2 linked regions of the Arabidopsis thaliana genome follow. The protein of the gene in region 1 purifies or fractionates together with the protein of each later gene. This does not show direct contact. Each region holds a gene or a part of one and is shown in the gene's direction. Other genes may lie near its edges. The genes, in order: AT1G53070 and PPa2.

Region 1 (12,743 bases):
ATATGTAACAAATTGTCCGTCATAAGATTATAATAATATAATTTTATTAGAATGTATTTTTTTTTAAAAACATAAACCGTGTTATAGTGATATTTTTGATACTCGTTACACTGATTTACGATATTATTTCTTTATATAATGATATTTATTACGTAAACTGTATAATGTATTTAATTTTTGGTGAATTTATTTTACAATTAGTTCAAAATTTTAAATGAGTTGGAAAACAAATATGAAAATAAGGGTTTGATTAGTTTTTTTAATTATGATTATTTAAGATTAGAAAAAGTGTTTTTTAACGAATCACATCGAGAATGTCTTTCTCATTATCCAGTTTCGATTTTGTCCCACACAAAAAAGTAAATTAAATGGTAAGGTTTTTTTTTGGGTTCAACTATTAAATAAGTTATTAACTGCGAAATACAACTATACTCATAAATACATAAGTGAAAAAAAAATTCACACTACCGAACGTATTTATTATTATTAAAATGCTCATAATATTACTTTTTGGAGTTTCCAATTTTTACAAAGGTTTTTTAATTCATTCAACATTGTGCTTCAACAACACATGCGTCTCTCAGAAATCTCTCCGCCCCAGATCCATCTCTCTCTCAAGCAAACACTCTTAAACCCTTTTGATTTCTCCTCATAATTATTCTCGAAAGCTCCATTGTTTATTAGTTATTCCTGCAAATTATTCAATTTTACCATTTTGCTTCTGGTTTTTTTAGTCGTCTCTCTCTCTCTTCAATCTCTTGAAAGGTACTTGCTTTATGCACAAAAGTTATAATCCTGGGTTTTTTTGTACTACACTGTAGTTATTAATGCCTGAACAATCTTCTTGATCTGGGTACATTTTGCAGATTGAGTAAAAATCATTCCTTTTTTTTTCTGGGTTATATACACTGTTCTTCGAGTTCTAGGGTTCCTTAATTTCGTTTCTCCTTTTTGGAAAGTCTCTGACTTTATGTGTTTTAATGGGTCTAGTTTTTTCATGTGGTCCATTTAATTAGCTAGTGGAAGAAGATGGATGAATTGTGTAAAGATTATTTTTGGTTCTAAGTATCAAAAAAATTTGGGGGTAAATTGAGGGAGATGGGTTGTGTTTGTGGTAAGCCTTCTGCTATTGAAGATAGCAAAGATAGTCCAAGAGAGCGTTTCTCAAGCAAATCCTCTTCTGAGTTTAGAGTTTCAAGACCGGTTGCTTCTTCTAGAAGGGAGGAGCCGCTTAGGATTAAGGAACGGTCTGATGTTGTTAGTGTAAGACCAGTGTTGAGTAATAAGCAATCCAATGTTTCGTTGCATTTGCGTGGAGAGAATTTGAGTAGAAGAGAGAAGAGGATTGAGAATGTTGCTGCTACTTCACCTCTTGCAATGAGTATTACCATAGCTAAAGCAACTGAAGGAGAGTATGTAGCTGCAGGTTGGCCTCCATGGCTGGCTTCTGTAGCTGGAGAAGCTATCAGGGGATGGGTTCCTCGGCGTGCGGATTCTTTTGAGAAGTTGGACAAAGTAATCTTCTTTTCTTTGTATATATACATTCATTTTGAAAATACTGTTAAATAGACTCTTTTGATTGCATGACATATAGTGGCATGTTTCCGTATTTAGAAACATATCCTAAGCTCCAAAGATATGGGTTGCAGTAAATGATGCTTTTATGTTATTGAAAGTGGATTTTGTTTTTCAGTTGATGGTTTTTAAAACTATATAACATGACCTGAAAAGGTTTTGAACTTATAGCTGTGAAGAATGATCCCTGATGCAGCGGTTTTAATTGTTTTATGCAGATTGGTCAGGGCACTTATAGTAATGTATATAGGGCTCGCGACCTGGATCAGAAGAAAATTGTGGCTTTGAAGAAAGTTAGGTTTGATAACTTGGAGCCAGAAAGTGTGCGTTTTATGGCTAGAGAAATCCAGATATTACGCCGGCTTGATCATCCTAATATCATAAAGCTAGAAGGCTTAGTTACGTCAAGAATGTCTTGCAGCTTATATCTTGTTTTCGAGTACATGGAACACGATTTAGCTGGGCTAGCCTCGCATCCCGCGATAAAATTTTCTGAATCACAGGTAACTTTTTTTTGTTTCTATTCAACATCTTCATGACCTAGGCACCACTTTCAGTACAATTTTCTGAGGCTGGGCTTTCTTTTCATACAGGTTAAGTGCTACCTGCAGCAACTATTACATGGACTAGACCATTGTCACAGTCGTGGTGTACTCCATCGGGATATAAAAGGCTCAAACCTGCTAATAGATAATAGTGGAGTTTTAAAGATTGCTGACTTTGGATTAGCTAGTTTCTTTGATCCTCGTCAAACTCAGCCTTTGACCAGTCGTGTGGTAACTCTTTGGTACCGTCCACCTGAGCTTTTGCTCGGAGCAACTCGCTATGGAGCAGCAGTTGATTTGTGGAGTGCAGGTTGCATTCTTGCTGAACTATATGCAGGCAAGCCTATTATGCCTGGTAGAACCGAGGTAGATTTACAGTTTTTGTTTTCTCTTTTAGTGTTTGCTCTGATTTATGTTAGACTAGTTTGGTTTCGTAAGGTGACTCTGGTAATGCTTATGGTGTTACAGGTGGAACAGTTGCACAAGATTTTCAAGCTATGTGGCTCGCCTACCGAGGACTATTGGGTAAAATCAAGGTTGCCTCATGCAACAATTTTCAAGCCTACTCAACCATATAAACGCTTAGTGGGTGAAACATTCAAGGAGTTTCCTCAGCCAGCTTTAGCCCTTCTTGAAACTCTCCTTTCAGTCAATCCTGACGATCGTGGAACTGCCACTGCAGCTCTCAAGAGTGAGGTACTGGCATTACTCAGGCAGTAAAAGCTGTGTGTTCTTATGCGTCTGTATTTCCTGGTAATCGCTTTTGTAACATCAAATTATCATTCTTTTATTTTCAGTTCTTCTCCACCAGACCTCTTCCATGTGATCCTTCAAGCTTGCCTAAATATCCTCCCAGCAAAGAGCTCGATGCAAGAATGCGGGATGAGGAAAGTAGAAGGTATGCCATCCAGATTTTCTAGTCTGATGTGACTTTTATCCTGCAATGCTCTTACGATAGCATAGTATCATTAACGCAAAAAGAAATATTTATAGAAATGCTTTAATCTAGTTCCTGTTTTTGTAGACAAGTTGGAGGAAACAGGGACCAAAGACACCAAGAAAGAAGAGGAACTAAGGAATCTCGAGCCATCCCAGCCCCTGACGCAAATGCAGAGCTGGTTGCATCAATGCAGGTTAAAAAATCTTAAAAAATCTATTTCTTTCGATGTTAAAGCTTTTTGCTTTTATTCAACGTTTTTGACCCTCTCGCATTTATGTCATTGCAGAAAAGGCAGAGCCAGTCTACTAATAGAAGTCGAAGCGAGAAGTTTAATCCACATCCTGAAGAAGTTGCATCCGGTTTCCCAATCGATCCACCAAGGCCGTCATCACAAGCATTTGAACCAAACAGAGAATCTCAGGGCAATATAATTCCTCACAAGAGAGCTTCACATTCTGGTCCTCTATCACGTAGATCTGCTTCCGCAAAGGGTAGACGGAATTACCAAGATTCTCAAAAGGTTTCATCCATAGCTGATTACTCAGCAATGCCTGGTTTTGCCGCAACAAGAACAGGCGCACCACAACAAGAGACTTGCAGAGGAATGACTCGGCTTCCAGGTTCATTCAAGGAAACGTCTGAAGAAGCAAACCAGGAAGAGAATGGTCGAAGCAACAAGAAAGACCCTATTCTCGTAAGTTCCCTAAACGTCCCTCCTTTGCTAATTTTAGAAGACTAGCAATGTTAATATTCTGAGTTGTATGGTTTGGTTTGCAGTTGGGTTATGGATCAAAAGGGCACAAGATTCATTACTCAGGACCGTTAGTGGTTCCATCAGGAAACATGGATCAAGTGTTGAAAGACCATGACCGACATATCCAAGAAGCTGTGAGAAGAGCACGAATCGATAAGGCTCGAGTCAAGAAACTTCAAGCTGACGAAGCTTCGAGCCAACAAGTCGCAACCAATCATCCCTCATCTGTTTCTAGCCGTTGATCCATCAGTGAGGCAAAAGTAAATGATCAAACCGAACCTCATTTGCCTGAAACCTTTTAACACGGCGTATTTTGAGTGAAAAATAATTGTATTTTATTGATTCAAAGATTATATATCATCATAGAATCAAATCTTTTCACGTTTTAGCTTCCCTGTAATGTGATATTATTTTATTATAAGAAAGCTGTAGAAACAGAGTTATATATCATAATTTAGAAAATGTTCCAAAAGTTGAACTTTTTAATTTGTGACTTTTTATGAAATTTACCAAGAAAGGTGTTACGAGATCTTTACTTGTGAAAAATAAATGATCTTGTCGAGTCAAACTTTGTTGGCTCTCTTTCACTATATAAATCTTGTTATCCTCTTATACTTTCCATATCCAAGAAAAAAATAAACAGAATTGCAGATCAAAACACTCTGTTTCATTCCTCTGTTTTTTGCTCTGTTTTGCTCTCACGCCATAACGTGTTCTGCTTACAGTTTCGACTTCATTTACTTCGGAAATGGAACTGATCTGATGACATTCCATGGAGACGCCGAGTACGCTTCAGAGCCTGATGGTATGAGCAAGTCAGGAGCAATTGGATTGAGCCGTGACAATGTCCCATTCTCTCATGGTCGAGCCATTTTCATCAATCCAGTCCCTTTTAAGCCTAGTTCTACTTCTTCCTCTGTCTACTCTTTCAAAACTTCTTTCTATTTCGTCATTAGTCCTCGCCCGAAAAATCCTAATCCCGGTCATGGCCTCGCCTTTATCATCGTCCCCAACGATAGAAACGACTCCGCTTCTGGTTTAGGCTATCTCAGTCTTGTGAACCGGTTTAGCAACGGTAATCCCAAGAACCATCTCTTTGCGGTTGAGTTTGATGTTTTTAAAGACAAGTCTCTTGGCGACATTAACGATAACCATATCGGAATCAACAATAATTCGGTTAATTCAACGGTATCTAAGAAGGCCGGTTATTGGTATCAATCAAAAATCGAAGGAAAAAACCGGTGGTTGTTCAAGGAATTGAAGCTAAGTGGAAACGGATACAGGGCTTGGATTGAGTACGAGAACGGGAAAGTGACAGTCACGATCGGACGTTCACAAGAAAAACCGAAGAGGCCATTGATCGAAGCACGAGTCGATCTTTCTAAGGTTTTTCTCGAGAAAATGTATGTCGGTTTTGCCGGTTCAATGGGACGTGGCGTCGAGCGTCACGAGATCTTGGACTGGAGTTTTGAGAACAGTGCCAAAGACTAATAAACCGGTTTGCTTCAGCTTTGTTTATGTCAAAGTTGTTACTGGTTTTGCAGCTTCGTTTTCTGTCGTGAATCTCGTGATGCTAAGGCTAGTGATAGTTGAAGGCTAATAAATGCTTATGTTATGGCCTAACGTGCCATGTATCTACTTTCAGATTTCTAGAAAGATTTACAATAAAGGATCCATTTCCATAGTAAGAACTATTAGATATCGTAATCTTCTATGAGACGGTAAATTGCTGAAAAACCAGTAAGGCATGTGCCTATGTAGGCTTCAACATAGATCCTTTCCTGCAACGATCTATGTCAAGAATTAACTACAAATATTCGTCATTTGAAACATATTCTCACACAATACGTTTCATTGAGTGAAACTCGGTATACAAACTTAATCACACCATGAAAATAGACTACTCTCCACACACAAAAAAAATGTACCAGTAAGGAAATTTGAACACATACGTATGACATCCAACCATATCATGATACTTCTTTATCATCAAGTCGGGTAAGCCCTATTTCGCCTGATTTGGCTCTCATCTCAAAATTTCTCCGACCTTTTTCTGGACGAGTCGTCTCGTCTTCTTTCCCTTTTTGTAACCTCATTGCAAGTTTGCAACAACAAAAACAATCCAATGATTACTTCATTGCATGGTTTAAACAAAAACAATCCAATAATATATATACATATTTTATCAATAAAGTATATTTATAAGTTAGGTTGATTTTTTTAATATATTTTTTTTTTATTTTTTTATTTTATATTATTTACTAAGACATTCTATTTTGGTTTAAAAACTTTAGAACTAAATGGTGATGATTTAAAAGTTAAATGGAGTGATTTAAAAGTAAACAAATGTTTCTTTAGTATCAAACTTTGTTAATTTTTAGGTCATAATCAAATTGAATGACATTAAAGAAAAATCTAACCATTTAATATACATATATACACATAATGGAAATTGTTAATTTGGTGATAATAAGAGAAGTTAAAAATACATGATTTGGTAACTCTATATATTTGAAAAAAATTTAAATGTGTTTGGTAAATGACTAAATGGTTTAAAGAGAATGAGGATAAAGAAAAATGTGTTTGACAAATTGATAGTTATAACAAAATAATTAAATAGTAAAAAAGCTGAGAGAAAAAATGTGGGATTGTCACATAAGCACTAAAAACTTTTAATATATAAAGGACACATAGTATATTGTTAATTAAGAAAAATTTGGTTTTGGTATAACTTAATGAAATATGATAGATTTGATCATGAATGTGGACTAACTTATATCTTTCCTAACCTATATATTAGGACAGACTAACTTATATACATATATAAGTTTATTCAATCAATACTAGTTTTAATTTCCTCCTATACACTCATAACGTTTTTGTTTTCAGCATTGTGGGCACAGAAAAAGTAGAACCATTTTGTGCACTTTCGAGAACAGCTTTTGTCATCTAATGCCATAATTCAAATTCTTTGTCTCTCTTCTCTCTCAATTATTTTAAGTCTTCTCGATCTTTTCAACACTCACATCTTTTAAAGTTCACCACTTTCACTTCCCAAATTCCCAAAAACAGAACTAAAAAATGAAGATCCAAATACTCTGTTTCACCACTCTGTTCTTAGCTATCTTCACCTCTCAAGTCACCACTGCTTACAAATTCAAATTCGATTACTTTGGTAACGGCACCGATCCAATATCATTCCATGGAGACGCTGAGTATGGTCCTGACACTGATGGCAAGAGCCGGTCCGGAGCCATCGCATTGACTCGAGACAACATTCCTTTCTCTCATGGTCGAGCCATTTTCACCACTCCAATCACTTTCAAGCCTAATGCTTCAGCTCTTTACCCTTTTAAAACCTCTTTCACTTTCTCCATTACTCCTAAAACAAACCCTAATCAAGGTCATGGCCTTGCTTTCATCGTCGTCCCAAGTAACCAAAACGACGCCGGTTCCGGTTTAGGCTATCTCAGTCTTCTGAACCGAACCAATAACGGTAATCCTAATAACCACCTCTTTGCCGTTGAGTTCGATGTCTTTCAAGACAAATCTCTTGGCGACATGAACGATAACCATGTCGGAATCGATATTAATTCGGTTGATTCGGTGGTTTCTGTGAAATCCGGTTATTGGGTTATGACAAGAAGCGGTTGGTTATTTAAGGATTTGAAGCTAAGTAGTGGAGATAGATACAAGGCTTGGATTGAGTACAACAACAATTATAAAGTAGTCTCTGTTACGATTGGTTTAGCGCATTTGAAGAAACCGAACCGGCCATTGATTGAAGCAAAATTCGATCTTTCCAAGGTCATACACGAGGTAATGTATACCGGTTTTGCTGGTTCGATGGGTCGTGGTGTCGAGCGTCACGAGATTTGGGACTGGACTTTCCAGAATTAAGAAAACAGGTTTGGTTTGGTTCGAGATCATCGGTTTTCTTTTGGTTTATGTTTCTGGTTTACCCTGGTGTGCCTTCAGCTTGTGATAATTGAAGTGAAATAATTGCTCATTTTATGTCTTACCGACAATTTGATGTATTATTGTTGTCAGATTAGTAGAAATCAAGGACGTTTCGTTCCTAATCTTTTATGTTAGTCACTTTTAAATTACATTTCTCGTTGACAAAAAAAGAAAAAATGATTTTACATTCTATCAAAATTGGCCAACATGACTAGATGAGAATCAGATTTATAGGAGAAATGTGGAGATCGTAGTTATGGGACTATCAAAATAGTCTAAAACATCTTAACATGTTTACCGGAAAAAAAGAGTCTACTACCAACTATGTTGTTTTGTGGAAGACTTTTAAAGAGGAAATGTTACATGCCAAGTGGATTATAACACTCCATGATGCGACTTGGAAAATGAGAGATCTAGGAACGAAGGAAAGGAGGACTTGATGAATTGTCGGAAAGTTGTCTCGTTTCTTTCAGATTATGTTGTAAAAGTGTGATAGAGATGAATGCTCTTTGAGATTATATATCGTGGTTGTATATACGCTCTTTCTCATATCTATTTCGTATTCTCCCTCTTTCAGTGAGATATTTTTTTAGTGTTTTTGCTTTATCCAATTGAAGAGTGTGTCCTCGTTGTCGAGGCTTGGACAGACAGCATCTCATAATTTTACCTACGACGATGTGATTTGACTACAATCATCAATCTGCTAGAATAGAATTTGACGTGTTTTTGGTGGAGGATCGTGCTAGGCAAAGGTGACCATGCGACAAGCGAAAGGAATCATTGATCTAGGACCTCCAAAGTTTTCGGCCTCATCAACAAAACAATAATCTAAAAATGGACCCTTTGCAATATAACAAAGCCTTCATGAACTCTAATTTTTTAAAATGTTTTGTCATTTCTTTGATAACTAGTCCAAAAAATACCAGAACAATCTTTTCTTGCGTTTGGACTCCTTAAATATCAAGACCGGCTCTAGTGGAAATATAATTAGTAGTAAGGATTAGATAAATTTTCTTATGAGTTATTGTGTTTATTCGACTTTAATGATAAACTAGATGAGTACCCGCACTACGTGCGGGTTTATGTATTACTATTTACAAATTGTTTTATATAATGTTTGTTCATATAACATAAAGTAAAGTTGAATGCATCGGTTTTGAAACATAAATATGATTTGTAATTGTTTTTGAAAAGTCCAACTATATTAGTTCATATGAAAAACGAATATGCTTGAGTTGTTTTTTTTTATTGTTGTTCTAGATTCTCAGTTTTTTTAAAATTTATATATCCTTGTTTTTTTTGTTATATGTTTAGATTGTGGGACGGTGAAATTTTAGAAAATTTGTTTCTTATACTAAAAATATAACATGTCTTTATTAACCATGTCTTTGCATATTAAATCTAATCATATTTAACTTGATGTTCTTGGAAAGTTTAGTTAAGTTCTTGTCATAATCTTATATCTTACATATTAGTTATAAGGATAGCTCCTCAAACATCTTTCAAAATACTTGTTTCTTAGCATAATTCTCGAAAAGCTTAGATATATTTAATCTGCATATTCATTTAGTTTCTTTCATAATAATCGTCTAATTTTTAGGCAAGGAATATGTGTAACATGTTTGGATTTTATGATCACTTTAACCACTCAAGTAGATCTCAAAATTAAAGAGGATATATTGAATTAAAAAAAATATAAAAACTGTGATGGTTCAAGTTCTGATTAATTATATCCTCTTATTTTAGTTGTTATGTTAAATTATTACTAATTATTTATTACTAATTATTTATTACTTATTTTATGAAGTTTATGTGGCAAACTCTATGTGCTAATGTGTAAAGTCGTGAGAGAGAGTTAACAATCCTTTCGATTCATAATAATTGTTTTGTTCTTTAGTTTTTTTTTTCCATCCATCTTGAATTCAGAAATCAATGGTTTATCACTAAAAAATAGTCTTTTTCGTGTGCCCAGTTGGCGCTATCATATTTGACCTCTATATATGTTTGAAAAGTCATAGTTGAAGTTCACTGGCTTTCGTCACACTATATATTACAGCACTACTTCCACTTCCATAACACCAAAAACAAAAACATACACACGTAAACAACAAACGCATAATGCAGATCCACAAACTCTGTATTTTTGTTCTGTTCATATCTTTGTTAAGCTCTAAAACCATTTCCGCCGTCAAATTCAACTTCAACCGTTTCGACGGAACAAATCTAATCTTCATCGGGTACGCCGAGCTAGGACCAGCAACCGATGGCATGAGCCGGTCCGGAGCTCTCTCCATGACCCGTGACAACATTCCATTCTCACATGGTCAAGGTCTCTACACAGATCCAATCCCATTCAAATCTTCCAACAACACATCTTCTTCTGTTTACTCTTTCAAAACATCTTTCACTTTCTCCATCACTCCTCGACGGTCAAACCCTAACCCTGGTCATGGTATCGCCTTCATCGTGGTCCCAACCGTAGCCTACGAGTACGACCAAGACTCAACCCGCGGCTTCCTCGGTCTAGTTAACCTCACAACCAATGGCAATCCTAATAACCATCTCTTTGCGGTCGAATTCGATGTTTTCCAAGACAAACGTTTTGGTGATATTAATGATAATCATGTTGGTGTTAATATTAACTCTGTTAACTCAAAGGTTTCTGAGAAAGCTGGGTATTGGATTCAGACAAGAACTAGAGGGAAGAATCAATGGTTGTTTAAGGAAGTGAAGCTTAGTAGCGGAGACAACTACAAAGCTTGGATTGAGTATAAGAACAGTAAAGTCATTGTTTGGCTTGCACCTGCGCATTTAAAGAAACCGAAGAGGCCATTGATCGAAACACAAGTTGATCTCTCGGAGGTGGTTCTTGAGACTATGTATACCGGCTTTTCCGGTTCGATGGGTCGTGGCGTCGAGCGTCACGACATTTGGAGCTGGAGTTTTGAGAACACCGCCAAAAACAATTAGTTCTGATTTTGGTCTTGTTTGGTTTGATTTATGTTTGTTACCGGTTTAACAATTATGTATTTTCTCTTGATTTTTATTCAAAAGTGGTTAAAAAGAGAGTACGTATAAAATGTCAAAATCAAATTTAAAATTACTTTGATCGATTAAACCATTAAAAAAAATCCTGAGAAGAAAACATGCACACTGTCCCGGACCATCACCGTCAATGATCTTCTTGGACATGCATCATTGATTTTGTATAAATAAAGACTCGTTAAAAGCCAAAGCACAACCACGTGGTATTGTGGTCATCGTCCTCATCAAATTGAATCAGTTTGTTCATGTCACAAGTTTCTTAACATAAGTTTTTAAAAGATATTACTAAAATTTAAAACTAAAATATTGACAAATCCACGATATATAAGGTTAAAGCTATCACAGTTTCTAGGTCGTATCATTTTCTACAAAAATCTTGCATTACATTTCAGATGGTTTGGTTTCAATAAAAAAACAGAGTTTTTTTTTTTTTTTCATTGATAAATTTGTGTATGTAATCTAATCATAGAAAAAGAAAAAACACGTGGCGTGTCCGGACGCATGTGATTTTGTAATTTACCACTTACGTTGTCGACTTGTCTCAATCCATTCCATGGAAATGGAAACTCCCCTCTGGTTATTAAATGCTCCCACCAATACATTCTCTTTCCTTTCACCAAAACCAATAATACAAACAATTTTGTTTTTCTCATTCAAGATTTTCAAAGTACAATCATTTCTTTAGGTACTTTCTCTTGTAATAAGGCTTCAAATATGTTATTCAAAAATTATTTTGGTCATTTTAAATTCCTATTATAGCCTTACAAAAATGTGTTATATTATTTGGACCACAACATAATTTAAACATTCCTCTTGAAGAAAATTGGTCACTTCAAAAAAGAACAAAATTCACTTTGACCTCATGGTTTACTTATATTTACATATATGGCCCAAAACCAAAATACGAAAAAGGTTTTAGCTTTACGTTCTTTTGATTCCTAGGTCGTCGTTTAACCACGTTGCTTGCGTGGAAAGAGAAGAGAAGTGAAGATTATCAAAAAGCGAAAAATAAAACCCTCACTGTGAAGTAAAAATCGTAGGCCCAAAATAGATTTCTCTTAGCCGAGAATTTAATTTTTATGAATCTGATTATTGCTTTTCTACGAACTCAGTTTTTGCGATGTGTGGTTCTCAAAAAAGGATCGTTTCTTCGGTGCCTCTTAGTCTCTCAAGTACTTCTTCTTCTTCTTATCTTCTTCTTCGCTTTTCTTTTATATATAGAGAGAGTTTAGTGGTCAAGAAGCTTCCTCGTGTTTGTCTCTTTATGTAATCAAAGGTTGCATTTTTATTCGAATATATTTTCTGGTTTTGGTGTTTTCTGTCAAAGGGTCTTTTAAAAATCTTAACTTTCGTTCTAAATTTCTTTACTTTATTTCGATTCTAACTTAGGGCTTTTGGGCTGGGATCATGAAATGAAGTATTGCAGAATCCAGAGGAGTTTGTTTGGTAATCAATGAAGGGTTCTTCAGAATCTAGTTCCAGAGGATTAAACAACACCTCTGGTGTTTCAGAGTTTTGTACAGATGGTTCTAAGTCTTTGTCTCACATTGATTATGTCAGAAGCTTACTTGGTTCACATAAAGAAGCTAACTTGGGAGGACTTGATGATGACTCTATTGTCAGAGCTTTGGAATGTGAGGATGTTAGCTTGCGTCAGTGGTTAGACAATCCAGACCGATCCGTTGATGCCTTTGAGTGTTTTCATGTTTTCAGACAGATTGTTGAGATTGTTAATGCAGCTCACTCTCAAGGCATTGTTGTTCATAATGTTAGGCCTTCTTGTTTCGTTATGTCTTCGTTTAACAATGTTTCGTTTATCGAATCCGCTTCTTGTTCGGATTCCGGGTCTGATGAGGATGCAACAACAAAGTCTCGAGAGATTGGTAGCTCGAGACAAGAGGAGATTCTATCAGAGAGACGAAGC
Region 2 (7,811 bases), on another chromosome or scaffold:
GTTCTCGGATGCGGAGCTCAACGGAATGAGATGGAACAACTTTGTCCCCGGAGCTGTAAAGATAGAGCTGAGGACATGGAGGATGGTTCTCATATAGTTTTTGAATGATTTTTGTTAGCCTCCTGCGATACAAACAATAACTCAGATTAATCAACCTAATATACAAAGAAGAAGCAGATGGGTTGTCTACTGTGTGGTGTGAAGCTTACGTATTGACGTCTGGGTGGTTTAAGAAGATGGGGAAGAGTTTCTCCAGAGATGATAGCATTATGTTTTCGATTCCTAAAGGTTCCTTCTTTTGTGGTGTTGAAGCATCCTCTTCTTTTATGGGACTGTTTGGTTCTGTGGTTATGGTGGAGCTACGCTTCTTCAGTATAGCCGCGGTAAACCCCGCTGCCCAAATCTGCAAAAGAACAGAATTCAATTGTTGATCTATAAAATCTGCACAGGTGTACGCATTGCTAATCTTATGCAAGATGAATGATTATGATGGCTTATTAGGACTACGCAATGATTAAGCAATTTTCAACAAAAGGGGCTTCAGAACAAACTCAGGCACATACTATGAAGCTCATTTTATCTTGTTCACATGCCTAAGACATCATATCTTGCAAGAGAACAAGATCACATTCACAAGATATATAGGCCGATGTACTATAAACCTGTGAGTGATGGCTACGTAACCAAAAGAAATCAGCGGTTTTAACTCATAGCTATATAGTCTTTTCTAAGTACTGAGTTATCTATCTACAAAGCTAATTGCTTAGATATCAAAATCAAAAGTCCCCTAGCCATGGTTCTGCAAATGCTTGTAATCGATACAAAGTTCTTCAACATAGAACTCAAACTAGCAAAGCTTTCACACTAGCATAAAATGAATCATTATTGAAAAAGAGGACAACATAGCTCAAATAGAATTTTTCACTTCACAACAATATTGACATTTCCACTTCCAATACAAGATCTTGAAGCAGTGGAGAAACCATTGAATAGCATTTAAAACTCTTGGTTACATGAAAGAGAGAACAAACCTTAGTATCAAGAGGATCTGCTCCTCCCGAGTCAATGATACAACCCTTAATCCTTTCTACTAAATCTTGTCTACCAATGAAGCTCTCTAGCAAGGCACCATATCTACCAAAAGTAAAAAAGCCCACCATGCTTAAAATTCATCATCTAATTCAAATCAACACTAAATCACAATCGCAATCACAATGTAGGATTTTGAAGGATTTTGGTTTCATCAACCTACACAAGCCAACCAGTGTTACTGAAACTGTGAAACACCAAGCATTTCTCTCTACCATCATCTTCTTTCTCCGATACCCAATTAACCAATTCATTCCCAAATTCAGCTATCCTTCGTTCAAGCCGCCGACCAAGATCTAACCGGAGCAAATCCCTAACGTCAACAGTGAAAGTAACGGCGTTAATTCCCCTGGAGTTGTACCACTCAACGTATCTCCTTAGATGTTTAGCTTTCGCTCCTAGCCAACCAAGGAGAACCACCGTCGTCTCTTTCCCCTCGTTCCCGCCGAATATCGCCGCGTTTCCACCTCCGTTCACGATCCGTGGAGCTCTGTTCCAGACGGCGACGCCGTCGTTAGGTTCGGATCGGAATGGATTAGCGTGAACGGCGGTGTTCTCGAGACGAAACGTTGACGTTAGGAAGAAGAGTGATCTGAAGAGATTCGCATTCGCAGGGAGCGAAGAGCACCGTATACGAGCGGCGGAGATAGAGGATTTTCGGGTAACGGCATTGTGTAGTAGCTGATTTGTGGAATTGATATTACGGGGATCTGATTTTAGATTGAGCTTACTGAGAAGAAGAAGACGATTGAGAGCAGAAGAAGTACTCAAGATTCTTGTAGTTGCTTCCATGGCGGATTTTGGATGATTCGCAGAAACCAAAAAGCTCTTCTCGTCAAATCGCTGATAAGTGATGAATAAATATCTGAAAAGAAAATAAAAATAGAATATTTATAGGAAATTAAACAGTCTTGCTGAATTAGCGGGTTTCCCTTATGCCTTGGAGCTGATTCAATCTCTCTTTTCAGACTTTGAAATGTTCCATTTTGGTTTACACCATCTTTTTCTCGGATCAAAGAGTACAACATATCTGAATTGGACAACAGTCTGCGGTTTTACGCACTGCACTTCCTCGGAAACTGTCTTATAGAGTCTCTCCAGTAATCTCTCATTGCTATATCCTTCACTATATTTTGTTGTTGTTGCAAATGTAATTGTGCATAAACCCTATGAATATTTGCCAAACCGATATCTAAACCAATAGAAGTCAAGAGACATAAATGCTTGAGAAGTATACTAACCTAGGAAGTCAAGTAAGTACACTCGAGTCCACACAGTTCTCCGAGTATGATGACCAATCTGTATCTGTTTCTGCAAAGAGATTTGGACCAGTGCTTGGTATTGGAGGCTGTCAACACAGCTTTGTGTGATTAGTTGTGTCCAGAGTAGTATCCAAGTCCTGGAACTGTAAAGAATACTTTTTCCTACTTGTGATTCCCAAATTCATTTAAACGTATAATTGTAAAATACACTGTTACACATTACAATGCAAAAACCGGAAAATGCAGGAGATTACTCAAAACTCAGAGAGATTTCTTAGTTCTGTTAAGCTTCAAGAACTTTGTTTTCCTATTCCACCAGCATGGCTATAGTATATTTTACTTTGATATCCTTAGTTTGTATCCTTTCTTGCTTCGCCTATCACCACGTCGAGATCAGTACCTGATCTACTGTTCGCATCTAATCTTGTTTTTCATTTCCCTGAGATGAATTGCTGCTGCTGGGCCTATCATCTCCACCATCACCCTTCTGTCAAAAACATCAGCACAATCTATGTTCAGCACTCTTAACTTTCTAAAGCAGAGATTCAAGACTATCCAAAAGAAATCGAATACAAATCACCCCGTTGCACGATTTACCTTGAGTCTTAAAAAGGTCAGGACACTGTTTACAAGAAACTTGAGCAGCTTCACAGGCTTTCTTACATCGAAAGGAAAGTATCTATACTTGAACATGTGCACGATTAAGCGTTTCATAGTTAAAGAATACAAAACCAACCAGTAACACAACAAGATCGGCCAGAACACAGGCACATCCAGGAAAGAGAAGAATGTCATCACAAATGCAACAACAAATGCTTTAGTCGCTGCATACCTGAAAATCAAAATTGACAAACTTTCATGAGAATTCAAACCCTAAAGCAGACCATTAGACCTAAATCAGTTCTCATACGAATTCACTATCATAACAATCATCAATCAAATTGTCTCAAAAGAAGAAATCTACCAGAACTTTAACAATGAATGGTAAAAACACAAACTTTTCGACAAACCTAAATCAAAATCATCCATCATCAAAAGTAAAAGAGAAATTTTACCAGAACTTGAACTCAGGAAGACGACGAACAAAGGGCTTATACTCATCAGACTCATCAACAGGTAAAGAATCAGGATCCAAAGCTTCAAGTTCAGGATCAACTTTAGGGGAAAGGAAACCAATCAAGAGATTTAAGATATAAGTAGCTAAGCCATAAGAGATAACGAAGTATCCATAAACAGAGTAAACCCTATAGATATAGATCACTGCAGCGACTAAAGTCACAAGCCATCTTCGAACAATGTTAGGAGCAGATCTGTCTAAGTAATTCTGAAACGATTTCGAGAATTCGATTCTCCATTTTGCAAGTGGTGAAGCAACTATGGTGTCTGCTTCATTTTCGCTTCCTGGTTCGTCTTCCATGGAAATTGAACACAAAATCTGCTTTTTCTTCACCTCAAAAACTGGGTCTGGTTATAAATTCTAATCACAATCACTGAACTTCGAATCAACTTCAAAAATCGATTCAAAACAATCTACTCGATTTAGGATGATTTTGAACCAATTAAATTGAAAGTTTCTCAGTTTCGTCTGAATTTTTCTTAGTCGTATTAAAGTCTTGGTTTTTCTGGAAAGAAGAGGAAGAAACTGAATGACGTGGGGAGAAGGAACATGACACGTGTCGCAAAGTAAGATACTTTTGTTAAACATGTTGGGCTTCATAAAATATTTGTTTAAGCCCAGTAGGGAAAATATGTTGAACTTTTTTTGGTTTTTACATGGAACGATTCGATATTCTGTGAGGCCCAACCAGAAAGAATCCAAAACCGAATCTTTTTTGTTTCTCTGGGACCTTAAACCGAATTTTAACGTTTTGCGTATGATTCTCTAGACTTGTAATTCTAGTTGACAGTCACCAAAAAAACACTGCTCGATGGTCACATCCATACGACACAGTTTTTTTGGTTGTGGTTAACCCCACAGCTCAATAATGATCATTTTTTCCCATTTGACATATTAGATACTTATGAAAAAAGAAAAATATCAAAAGTGGTAATTTGTTATTCAACTTGTTTTTGTGACAGAATAATGAAAACAAAAAAGAAAATAATAAATACACAGAATAATGAGTGACTGATTTTGAGTGAAAACAAAAAAGAAAGAAAGAAGAATGAGTGATATAAATTCATTTCTTTATCCTAAGAAAATAATAAATTTGTTTGCCAAAAACAGACAAAATAAAATAAGGAATTCACTGAAAGAAATTGCCTAATTTTCAGGACACGCGTCATATAACAATTTGTTAGTCGGATACTTTTTTGGTACATCACTGTCGTCTCTTTTTCTTTTCGTTCAATTAAAAGGTACACTAACTATTTTTTTAAGAAAGATATTAAAATCTTGAAAAACCATGGCCGTCAGATCCATTAACCTTTCAAATTCAACGGACACGATTCATCGTACGATTGACGATGAACAATAACCGAGGAAAAAGTGACGTCAGCGTCTTCTTCCTCCTCCAACGTCCCATAAAGAAGCGCCACACACACAGTCACACGAAAACTCTACTGTAACTGCAAAATCTTGTTGTTTTCTTAAACGAAGAGAGAAGAAAGAAAGAAAAAAACGTTACGGATTCTCTGCTTCGGTTTCGCGATTGAAGCTTGAGATTTCATCTGTAAGATCATCTTCTTCTTCTTCTCTCGTTTCTTTTTTTCCTTCGAAATCCGTCGATTAGGTCATTTTTAGTTTATCTTCTCCTGTTAATGGTACTTGTTTTGATCACTTCTTGTTGAATCGAAGCGATTTCGTTTGATTTTGCTATTTTCTTGTTGGTTTCGTTTCGTTTTGAGCGCCGAGTACTTGGATTGGTCTTCACAGATGATCGATTCGTCGATTATCTTTCATTTGTTTGGATTAGTTCTGTTTTTCGATTCTATTTCAGTTTCCAATTGATGTAGCTTAGACTAGTTGGTGATTTGAGTGTTTTGATGTGTATTTACATGAAATCGATGATGGATCTATGTTCTTCGCATATCTCTGATACTTTAGCCTTTCGCGTTGTTAGATATTTGCCTAAGATGATATTGAGTTGCATTAGAACAGTGAACCATCGTAGAAATGTGTGCTTCATTTCTCTGCTCGGATTTGAACAGTCATTTTTTATGGTTTATAAGATTGGATTCTGCTGGAATGTTGAAGGATTTGTCTGGTGGTTATTGTATGAAATGGTTAAGTAGTGAGAATAATTTATATGGCCTGTTTTGAGTTTGGTATATGATTGAATGAGACTCTCCTTTTGTTTGCATATTATAGTGAACATCCGATATGGCTGAAATCAAGGATGAAGGAAGCGCCAAGGGCTATGCTTTCCCTCTCAGGAACCCTAATGTTACGCTGAATGAGAGAAACTTTGCAGCCTTCACTCACAGATCAGCTGCTGCTCATCCTTGGCATGACTTGGAGATTGGTAAGAATCCTTGTCTTTGTTACTTTGAATAGTCATGTGAGTCAAGTGTTGATTGTTTGATGTAAGTGTTTTGTTTGTTGAATCTTTCAGGTCCAGAAGCTCCTACTGTTTTCAACTGTGTAAGTTTTATCTTCTTCTACATTGCGGAAGATTAGATCATATTAAGAAAGTTAGTGCTGGTCTTGTGATTGTTAAATGTGCTTGAATTCTTTGTCAGGTTGTTGAAATTAGCAAAGGTGGAAAGGTTAAGTACGAGCTAGACAAGAACAGTGGCCTTATTAAGGTACAGTGTTCTTTGGCAGTCTCTGCTTGCATCATATATGCTTTGATTGAGTATAACCTGTCTTCTGATCCCTCAATATATAGTCTGATTATGCGGTTATATGAGGAATTCTTTGTTGCTAGATATATCATAAGTCACATTTTATGCATTCCAACTAAATATCCTTCACCGTAAGAGTCGAAATGAAGAAAAACTCTGATCACTGAAAGTTTTCCTCTCTAGGTTGATCGCGTTCTCTACTCATCCATTGTGTACCCCCACAACTACGGTTTCATCCCTCGAACTATCTGTGAAGACAGTGATCCAATGGATGTCCTGGTACTGATGCAGGTGCTTTCTCTCGCCTCATCTTAGCTTTCATGTTCATACAAACTTGATGTAAACAGGCAGTGAAATAACAGACTTGAGATAAAATACTGTGCAGGAGCCTGTGCTAACCGGATCATTCCTCCGTGCCCGTGCTATTGGTCTAATGCCCATGATTGATCAGGTAACAAAAACTCTTAAACCCAATTCTACCTCTATGTAATGTATTACCTTAGTAAGAAACCAGGAATCACCTTGTTCTGAAACTTGCAGGGTGAGAAAGACGACAAGATCATTGCAGTATGTGCTGATGATCCCGAGTTCCGTCACTACAGAGACATCAAAGAGCTTCCCCCTCACCGTCTAGCTGAAATCCGTCGCTTCTTTGAGGACTGTATCCTACAGAGACATGTTGCATTTAACGTATAATTTTGTTTTCGCTTATGATTTGTTTTCAGTTTTCACTTAACAAACAATGTTTTTAGACAAGAAGAACGAGAACAAGAAAGTCGACGTTGAAGCTTTCCTTCCCGCTCAAGCTGCCATAGACGCTATCAAGGACTCCATGTAAGTTTGTTTTATCCCAAACACCAAATTATTTACACGTTGTTTTGTTAATAATGAGCAATGTACTGTTTTGAAACGCAGGGATCTTTACGCAGCTTACATCAAAGCTGGCCTGCAACGCTAATGAAGAAACCAGTCCTTTTCCGTTCCTCCCGGTTTGCTTAGACATCACTGAAGCCGCCTTCTATACTACATGCATGTTAGATAAAATTTCAATTGGTGCATTTAATTTCGTAATGCTCATCAGAAAACATTGTTGAACTTAAAGCTTTCTGATGATGATGAAAAATTTCCAGTACAATCATAAAATTTGAAATATTAGCTTTTCTTTTCCCCAAAATTTTGTTTAATGTTGTTTCGCAAACATCCGAAAAGTACTCTCATACAAATCGAAGAAGATACAAAAAAAACTTAAGAAGCTACTCGGGCCTTCTTCTTCTTGGTCTTTTTGTAAGCCTTATGCCAGGTCTTATAAGTGCCCTTAGTCTTCTTAGATGTCTTGGTCTCAGGATCTGCAATTTCGTCTACTGCATCATCTTCATCTTTGTCTCCTCCTATATCAAACAGATCCTCTTCCTCTTCATCAGAACTCAACACAAAATCCTCCACAACGTCATCTTCTCCTAAGCCTTGCTCATCCTGCTTCTTCTCTGTTTTACTCTTTCCACCTCTCTTCCTTTTCTTCTTTTTCGTTTTCTCTTCTTCCGGCTCTTTTTCTCTGTTAATTACACATTTGTTGTTTTAGGTTATATCACAACGGTCAGATAAAATATCTACGTTATAGGCGTAGGAGACAACCCGGTTCCCATCCTATCTATATTCTTAAGTTGATAAAGCCAC

What was found.
Region 2: the proteins of AT1G53070 (region 1) and PPa2 fractionate together in Arabidopsis thaliana (co-fractionation; one large-scale study listed by BioGRID). This does not show direct contact.

What each region holds. Positions count from the first base shown.
Region 1 is NC_003070.9:19,771,476-19,784,218, forward strand, and holds AT1G53070 (Legume lectin family protein), read left to right. Parts: upstream 1-6,657; 5' UTR 6,658-6,895; coding exon 6,896-7,714; 3' UTR 7,715-7,972; downstream 7,973-12,743. Other genes in the region: AT1G53050 (Protein kinase superfamily protein), read left to right, coding at 1,099-1,515, 1,794-2,078, 2,169-2,486, 2,589-2,816, 2,918-3,018, 3,145-3,253, 3,347-3,754, 3,838-4,056; AT1G53060 (Legume lectin family protein), read left to right, coding at 4,577-5,305; AT1G53080 (Legume lectin family protein), read left to right, coding at 9,893-10,744; SPA4 (SPA1-related 4), read left to right, coding at 12,273-12,743.
Region 2 is NC_003071.7:7,931,423-7,939,233, reverse strand, and holds PPa2 (pyrophosphorylase 2), read left to right. Parts: upstream 1-4,880; 5' UTR 4,881-5,023; intron 5,024-5,661; 5' UTR 5,662-5,673; coding exon 5,674-5,815; intron 5,816-5,905; coding exon 5,906-5,934; intron 5,935-6,032; coding exon 6,033-6,098; intron 6,099-6,320; coding exon 6,321-6,428; intron 6,429-6,522; coding exon 6,523-6,588; intron 6,589-6,677; coding exon 6,678-6,798; intron 6,799-6,889; coding exon 6,890-6,971; intron 6,972-7,052; coding exon 7,053-7,095; 3' UTR 7,096-7,311; downstream 7,312-7,811. Other genes in the region: AT2G18245 (alpha/beta-Hydrolases superfamily protein), read right to left, coding at 1-122, 210-403, 1,032-1,134, 1,253-1,881; AT2G18240 (Rer1 family protein), read right to left, coding at 2,770-2,838, 2,949-3,183, 3,407-3,768; AT2G18220 (Noc2p family), read right to left, coding at 7,383-7,689.